Linked DNA regions of Drosophila melanogaster. The protein of the gene in region 1 interacts with the protein of each later gene in a pairwise test. Each region holds a gene or a part of one and is shown on either strand. Other genes may lie near its edges. The genes, in order: CG6497 and CG14598.

Evidence for each region.
Region 2: the proteins of CG6497 (region 1) and CG14598 interact in a two-hybrid assay, tested with the Drosophila melanogaster proteins (one large-scale study listed by BioGRID).

What each region holds. Positions count from the first base shown.
Region 1 is NT_037436.4:17,251,591-17,255,768, reverse strand, and holds CG6497 (uncharacterized protein), read left to right. Parts: upstream 1-1,831; 5' UTR 1,832-1,945; coding exon 1,946-2,602; 3' UTR 2,603-3,392; downstream 3,393-4,178.
Region 2 is NT_033777.3:7,437,863-7,442,763, forward strand, and holds CG14598 (uncharacterized protein), read left to right. Parts: upstream 1-1,897; 5' UTR 1,898-1,984; coding exon 1,985-1,999; intron 2,000-2,986; coding exon 2,987-3,661; 3' UTR 3,662-4,114; downstream 4,115-4,901.

The DNA.
Region 1 (4,178 bases):
CGGCGGTTGGCGTAGTTACAGTTTTGCCCATCGAATGGTTTTCCCCGCGCTCCTTGGTGCGGTTGTGGTTCGTTGCTTGGTTATCGCCAGTGCCACTACTCACACAGCCGAAGACCACTGCCTGCACCACTACGAGTGCAGCGGCAACTGCAGATGCACTCGGAAAAATCGGATAGAGCTTCCGTTGATTGATGCGTATTGAAGCAAAGTAGAATGTTTTTTTCGGTCTTGAGACCCTAAGTTATGGTCTTGAAAGAGACAATTTCCAATCAGCTTGTATCTACCTAAGGCAACTATGAAGTAAATAAAAATATATTCTAAATATACCTCATTTCTTTTAATAAAAAAAAATTAACATAATTAATTAATTAACAAAAATTAATGAAATATATAATAACACAATTTATAAGGCACACCAAATTTAATGTTTTCTTTTCGTGCCTTTAATTTGAGTTTTACTTATGAAATGTAGTTGAAAGAGTGCATTATGTGCCTATAATTTGTATAAAAGGTGAAAGCTATGAAAATATCTCACTGTCAAATATTAATTGTTTTAATAAGAAAGCACTCGATTTTTGCAAGTGCGAACCTAGCAGAAGCAGCAACAACTACTTGGGTGCTGTCGGTGAGCCTGTTTTTTAGTGCCTTCCGTAACCATTAAATTTTACGTTTTTATTAGCGCGCACACACACACATACACAGACACAGACACACTTACGCGGAGGAAGGAGGAGGAAGAGGCCGAGAGTTGGCAGATAGGCCGTCCCCACCCACTGAACTCTACCGCCCACTACCGCCCACTCCGCCAACCATTTTTGAATATTTCCGTTTTGGCTGGCAGTTTTCGGTTTTCGGCTTGTCTACAAAATGCAGTTTTGCATGCACTTTGGCCTCGGCGCAAAAAGTCAACCGAAAAGAGACAATAATAAGTGCAGAGCACAAAAGGACGAACCCGAAAAAAGGGAAAGAGCAGCATAAAACGTCGAAAAAGTAGAGCCAAGAACATGAAAACGGAAAATTGCATTGCGCTCAGAAGTATGCTATGCTTTTTTCGCTTGCCTTATCAACGTCTCAAATCGGTTAGGGTTGATAGGAAAAGCGGAGGGGCGCAAGCGGGTTACTGGCAAAACTTAGTCCAGATAGCGAAATGTTGTCGCCCAACAGGACCTGGACGTATTTTACGTATTTTAGTTGCCTGCAGCACACGCAAAAAAAAATGAAGAATACAATGCAACCCAAAGACTTTAAGACAGTTCGAGTTGCAGTCGTGGGCGGTTCCATGCGAGTTGTGGCCACTGAAATTGGTTGCATGTTTCAGGGGAACAGACCTTTACCACATGAGTGCTGTTCAAAACTGCTCAAACCTTTACAGACAACACCAATAAAGCTCAATCCCTTCAGGCCAAACAAGTTCGACCCAGCCTCGTCGAGCTCGCAACTTGTTTGGCATCCACAACATTTGGTTGCAGGGTGAACGGGCTAAAAAAAAACTCTTATACTTTTGAGTAAAACTCAATTTCAATCCAATTCAATAGCTCATTCAAATCAGAGCAATTTAAAGACCATAATAATACTGCAGAATTAATAGTTTCATTTTTGAATAGAAATAAAGAGATAATCAGAGAACGAGAGATATAGAGATTATAAATGTTCATATGGCCAATTCAATGCGTGAGTTTGTTTTATATTTATTAAAAAAATTACAAAATATTAAGAACTTAACCTAATCAAGTATAATCACAGACAAATGCCACATAAGAGGCTTGTTAAAATCGTCTTTCATTTTGCATTACTCCGAACTAAGTAGACTAATTGTATGGATCAACCTTTCGGAACATAAGTACCAAAATTAACCGAAACGAAAATTCAAACCCAGTCGGACTCATCCCCTACCAGCCAGGAACCATACACCGAAAAAAGAAGGAACCAAAGGACACAGGACATAATGGAGCTGTGGCAGAAGCTACGAGTGCAGTTTAATGACTTCTTCCACGCGAACTACCCGTACATAGCGCTCTACAGCGGACTGGGCGTGGCAGTAACAGCCTACTTGCACTACCAATGGAGCGTGCACCACTACGACCTCATGTACTGGAAGCGTTTGGCGGAGGTCTTCTCGCAGGACATCGACTGCATCCAGCTGGCTATACTGCTCTTGATCTTCGCGATCAACGCCATTTTCGTATTCATCATCCTGAGCGTCTATCTGCGCCCAGCCCTCGACAATGGCAGTGAGATGTCCTTGCTGGAGATCAAGGATCGCTATGCCCGGTTCATACTGCTCCGCCTGATAGCCCGTCTCGATCGCATACAGTCGAAGATCTCAGCGAAGCGTAAGAGCCTCACCTTCCAGCACTATGTGAGGGCACACACGAACATGGTAAAGGCGGTGGCCGTGTTCCGCAAGGATGCACGCAAGCTAATCCTGCCGAATGAGAGCGAGATCCTGATGCCCATCGAGGACATCTACGGGGTGGCTGATGACGAAGAACGACTGCTTCGGCGATCGGGCTACTACAAGCTGATCATCGACACCACCGACGAGACGGTCAAGTCTCTGTTCAACGCCAAGCTGGAGGAGATCCTGTTCCCAACCAGCTAGACGACTCGGCGGTTCCGATTGAAACTTTGAGTAAACTGCAGTCCAACACTAATTGCCTTTATCTACTCTGCCAGAGCCGCAGCTCCGAGGGCCCCTTCTTAAAGCCGTTTTATTGTTTCAATTGTTTGGCTTGGCAGCTTTTTATGGCCGCATTGTGCGCCGGGCCAACAATAACAGGCCAGTCGGAGACTGTCAGCCGTCCCCAACCCCCAATAACAATAATGGCAAAAGAAACAGCAGCAGAAACAGCAGCAGAAACAGAAGCAGAAGCAGTTGCAGAACCAGACCAGAACTAGAAACAAAACTCCAACGAGGAACAGAGACTAAACTAAAATGCCAGCCCATGTCTGCACAGCTCAAAACAATATCTAATGTTGTCTACGGCAAAATATTTTGCAAAGCGTCTTTTTGTTTTGCCCGATTTCTGTGTCCTTCAGGCCTTTGTGTGTCGACTTTTCTTTAAAATTAGCTAAAAGGTTGTGTAAATTTAACTGAAAGTGGGATAGCAGTGAAAGAAAAGCGTTGCAGGGGATAAAGGATTCTTGGAATGCATCGTGGGTACGAAAAGCAACAAGGGCGACTAGGAAATATAAATAAATTTTCTTATGGGATGATATCTAACTAAATTACATTTTCGGATGGCATGAAGTGGACTAGAGTCCGCAGTCATTAGTGATTTAATCTAGAAAAAGAGGGGAAGAACCTTTTAGGAGGAGCGTCAAATTAGCATCAATAAAATTGGGCAATAATAAATTAAATTCATAAATTCAAACACTCAACAAAATTATATAATTGACTTTTTTGGTTTGTGGTCGTACGTGCGGGCATGACAACAATCTGAAATAAAGATGCATAAATTGTTAATCTGTTTAACAGTATCTTAAGTAGTTGTAGTTCTTGATCTAATAGTACCCGATATCTCGTCGTTCATACGGACAGTCAAACGGACAGTCAAGCGGACATTGTCAGTGATTCTGACTTTATAGTGTTACATACTTTACAACTAATCTACAAGATCTAAATGTTCGAATTTTTATGTCAGTTAAAAAAAGCGTCGAGACCTATTAATTTGTAAACGAAATTGTTAATTATCTTTTTGATTGTAATACGTTATTGTACAGATTGTTGTCGTGCCATTCAAGTCTCGCAGTTAACCATTTAAAATTCACATCCTTTCATTTGCTTCAACTCGATTTCCGCAGCTGCTGCTGTTGCTCACAAAATACAACTCATATCCTTGCCAATGACTTCAAAGCAGCGCATGCTTCGCTGCGCGCCAAAAAGTAGACAACAAAAGCCTTGATAATGAAAAGCGGAAAAAACACGCACTTTTAACTTCACTTTTGGCAGCTAATGCGCGAATGGCCAAAAAGTGACAGCCTAATTTCGGTTAATGTGGCGTGTCCTTTGCTTTTGGCCATAAATCCGCACAGCACGTGTGTGGCAAACTGCATTACTTCATTCGCAGTGCGCACTTCTTTTTCCCCATTTTTCGTTTTTTTTTTTTTTTTGCTCTTCCTTTTTTAATGATGGCCACGGGTGGGCGGCTCACCTCCCGGCGAAAAAGACATTAAGT
Region 2 (4,901 bases), on another chromosome or scaffold:
CCTTCTCGATGGAGCAACAGAATTTTTCGATTTATATGCATATACAAAGACAATTGAATGTGCGTGGGTGCCCAAAGGACTCCGCTCCTGCAGACGTTGTTCCGCACTGGGTGCTCGAAACTTCCGTGATGGCGGACCCGCCCCTCACGTAAATATAAATAAATACATACAAATAAATAACAGAAAGGATATGGAAGCCCCGAATGGAGTGGGTCATGGAACACAATCGAGAACAATAACAATGCCGCATAAAAATGGAGTCACGCCAATCGTCTGGTTAAGTGAAAACACTTGAACAATTCAGCCGGACCCAGTTGGGGCCGAATAAATAATTCGCTTTTGATGAATTTAAGGCACGTGAATTCCCAATAAAATAGCGACTCAATAATTAATGTAAAAATGTACAGTGCTGTTAAAAATACCTCACTGATATTTTACTTAAATCGTAAGAATTCTTGCATTTCAAGTCTTACAATTGTATCTAACAAAAAGGTTAGACTTAGTTCTAATGTCTATCACTTTAAAAAATTCAAAAACAAGGTTTTTCTAAATTTTAACAATGTATCTATGTTTTGCAAAACTATTCGTTAATTTGTCACATAAAAGTTATTTATTTCGAGTAAACATTAGCAAATATATTTTATATTATATTTATTATAATAAATATGTTCACCAAAACCAAATGCAAATCAAAAGCACGTCTTCACAGCTGTTAAATCGAGTTGGGCATCTTAAAAACTGATTAGTGAATCACCTTAAGTAAAACCATTTAACTTTATATCCGAAAAATCTGATTAATTACGACTTTAATTCCTGGTGATCCAAAAAACGTTTGGCAAAGAGCACTACAATGTTTGATGAAGCGATAAACATCTTTTAAAAATGAATCCACTTAGGCCAAATACCTCTGGCAGCACAAAGTTTAAACTATTTGCTAACGCTTATCAGAAATACCACACGAATCTTAACACTGGACTGCTGGGCAATTAATCTCGTGGAACACAGCGATCCAAAACCAAACCGAACCGAACAAAACAAAACCAAAACCGAGAAATCCGGTTGCCTCTAATGCGGCTCATAATTTATGAGCCTTCGCACGCACACAAAAAGTCTCGACGTTAGGAATCAACGCTCACATAATTTGCATAAATTGGAGATGTATCAACCGAAATTGAGGTAATAAAGCCAACAGCCGACGGAGGGCCCTATCAAATTCTGGGCTTTGATGACGGAGATGCTGATCTGCTATCGGGCCACTTGTAATTGGCACTAATTTGCTTTCACTCCATTAAAGAATCCCCCCACGATTTAAATGCAAATGAGGGCGTACCACTCGGTAGCGAAATAACAGGTTTCCTCTGCGAATACTGTTCAAATCAATTAAGGAATGGAAATAAAATCAATCTTCAAGCACGGGCATACACCCCCTTGGATGAGGAAGTGACGCTAGCTTTTATCACAATTTATGCAAACCGCTGACAAAAATGCTAATAATTACATTCTCTCCCCCCAAAATCAAGTTAAGAGCTCTCAGATGTGTGACAACCAGATATACAGAACATGAGATACGATATCATGTATCTACAAGATGCGACCGTGAACCCGAAAGAGTTCACAGCTTAATCAGCTGTTTCGGCATCTTATGCTGCGCTGCTGCATTCTGCCGAATTCTAGATTGAAAAAATCCGAAGAAGAAGCCACTTAATTGGCCAAGAGCAAGCTTCGCTCTCGCGCTCGTCTGCCATCCCAAGAAAAATAAAAATAAATTAAAACCCCCGGTTTTAATCCGGTTGTTAAACTTTACACTGAGCAACAAGATCGTGTAACTTCTGGGCCGTTTCAATTTCAAAATGGATCGCTTTGACCGACTATAAATATGCTGCGCATGCTCAGCGGCGCTTTTAGTTCGTTCAAAAATTTCAAAGTGTTCGGTACGGGACACAAGTTTTCCGCCTTAAATAAACAAATAGGATTCCTAGCAAATATGTCACTGAAATACGTAAGTGGACAACTCGTGTGCATAATTGTGAATATAAAATTGTTGCTAATGTTGTTACTGTTCTAAGCTGGTCTTTCCTGAAATAGACTCTAAAAAATGCAACAAATTGTTCTAATTAGCCATCTGCGTAAGCATCATTAGCGGAATTCCAGTTTAATGCATAAATTAAATTATGAAATTGGTCCTGAAATGAAATTAACATAATTAAATAATTTTGTACCAACAAATTTAAATTTTTTTATATCACTCATTAAATTTATGATAAAAGAGATAAAAGGAGACTGACATTTTTTTAGACGCAACAGTTTATTGTCTGAGGTGTGAACTTGCAAGTCATAACTACAAGTTACCATATACTTTCTTTCTTTTCAAACTAAAAATTTGCATAGATCTCAAGCTCGATTAGTATCTTTATCGTCGCTATGTTAATCACAAGTGGAGAGGGTCTAATGACCTTTCCCACTAGGGAAAGAAAAATGTGATTTAGAATCTAAATGCGAATAGAACTGACTATAAACTAATCCAGTTTTGGCATGTGCCTAACAATGCAAGGCTTTTGCACACTCCAAGGTCAAGTCAAATCAGATTTTAATAATCTTGAAGCTCCCACACTTTTAGAGCTATACTAACAAAGTGTTTGAAATTGGAATACATTGGAATGGTTGTGACCATATTAAACAATAGAGCCATAACTTTAATACGCACCCGTAATTGGCAGACAAATACATATCATTAAGCTGACCAGTCTCTTTTCGAAAACATTGGGTTCAACTTAGCAACAAATACTTACGATAAAAACTGCACCTTTTAGCAGGGCCTTTAGGAAACTAACTTTCAAAATAAAAAATGTTTAAATAAATATCTTTATTAATTTTGTTAGCCCAACGCAGTAGTGTTCACCTATGCGCCGAATGCATATAAAGATTACTATTAGTAGTTACTAAAAACTATAATTAACTTGTTATTACCTGTACCGTTTCATTGCAGTTACTCATTGCTTGTGCAGTGCTGATCGGATTGTGTGGAGCTGATGTGTCAGAAATAAAGGCGGTTAAAGTGGATCTGCCTTTCAATGACTTGCTACCACCGCTGCTGGATGAAGTGAGCACCACGACGACAACGACGACGACAACGACAACCACAACGACGACCACAACGGAGAAGCCAGCCACAACGCTGGCCACAAAGCCAACCAAGAAATCGTACTACCAGAAGCCAGCTCAGCTGGCAAAGGAGGATAAGTTGAAGACCATTGTCATCAAGCAGGATGTTTCACAGCTCCCTTTGGATCTACTGCCACCTTTCGAAGACGAGGTCAAGCCGGCGGAGGACAAGCTGCGGCCAGTGGTTAATACTACGCCAAAACCCGTGGTTAGGATCTCTCAGCCGTCTGTGCTCAAGGTCACTCCAAAGGCTGTTCCCAAGGTCACCCCGCCGCCTGCTCCACGTCCGCAGTACTCTGTTCAACCAGCCCTAGCATCCCGCCCACAATACTCCGTTCATCCTGCTCCTCAAGCGATACACCCTCAGCCCACCCGTGCTTCTGGTTTCGGAAGTGGATTCCAGTCCCGTTTCTCAAACTACTTCCTCACCAGTACCCCTCGACCCAGACGCGGTCCCCTGCCCACTATCACCCCTTTTCCACGCTTCGTCAGACTGTAGGAATCCATTTAATTAGATTAGATAAGCACCATTCAAAGGCCGACTTAAAATATAAAATAAATTAGATACGACACAACTGAGATAATGAGTGGAAACTATGCGGTATTATTTAAAAGCGACTGTTGAAGCATGAATTCACAACAAAGTATTCGAAGATTTCAAATGTTGATGGATTAAATAATTTATGAATGCACAAAAGTGACCATTTCGAATCATAGAGGCAACGCCATCTGTTGCTACTTCGTTATGTGAGGTTATCTGTTTTAAATTAACACCTTTGTCAAGGGAAAAGTGGAAGAAGCGCAAAATTAATTCCTAAAATAATATTTATCGTAAAGGAAATTCATACACCCTTCTTAGCGACCAATGGATAGCGTTTTACCTTTTCCAGAGCTTCATCGGCATGTTTTTAATTGTAGTACATATATTTAAAATAAACTGCTAATGCAATGTAAAAAAAAAAAACCAAAACTAATTTCCGAAATATTTCTATTAACTCTCGGTCTGTATGATAAGATTTTTCTTTTTGAAGATACAATAATTAAAAGTTGCCAAAAAAAATGATGACAGTGATATATTATGCTAGTTGACTCCAATGCGCGCAATCAACCAAATTTACTTATCAAACTTCTTAAACACCTTTCCCTTCCCCAAAAGCAAACACATTCAAGTATCTACCGCAAAAGCGGAATTCGGATTCATTAACAGCATTTAATTAATTGCTTGGCGCCGTCGGAACAGAAACTGACACTGAAAGCCGCTGTCAGCTGCCAAATAGCTACAAACGGTTTAGCCCCCGGCTAGCACACAAATACATTCATATACATAACACGGCACCCGGCACACAAATCCAAGCCCAAAACCAGGCTCAAACCGAACTCAGCTCCAAATTTCAAGCGTAAACCCAAACCCATCGCTTGACATTTGCTCAACATGCTAAATGCTAATTACTTGGCGTTGATGATGTCGCCGACATTCGGGCTGTCAGAAATTCGTAACACTCACATGGGCATTTGAATGTGGTCCAGAGCACGGAGAGAATAACTATTACTATGTATAAACAAATAAGTCTTGGCTAGTATATAGAATATATTTTTCACAATTTTTCATTACATAGAACATTAAGTTTCTTTCTACTTTCCATTAATATTTCAGGTAAGATCAATAGGGTGAGAAACTTTTCCCACTTCGCAAAAGGACTTCATCCTCTGTAAGCCATCGAGGTTTCTCCAAGTGCTAT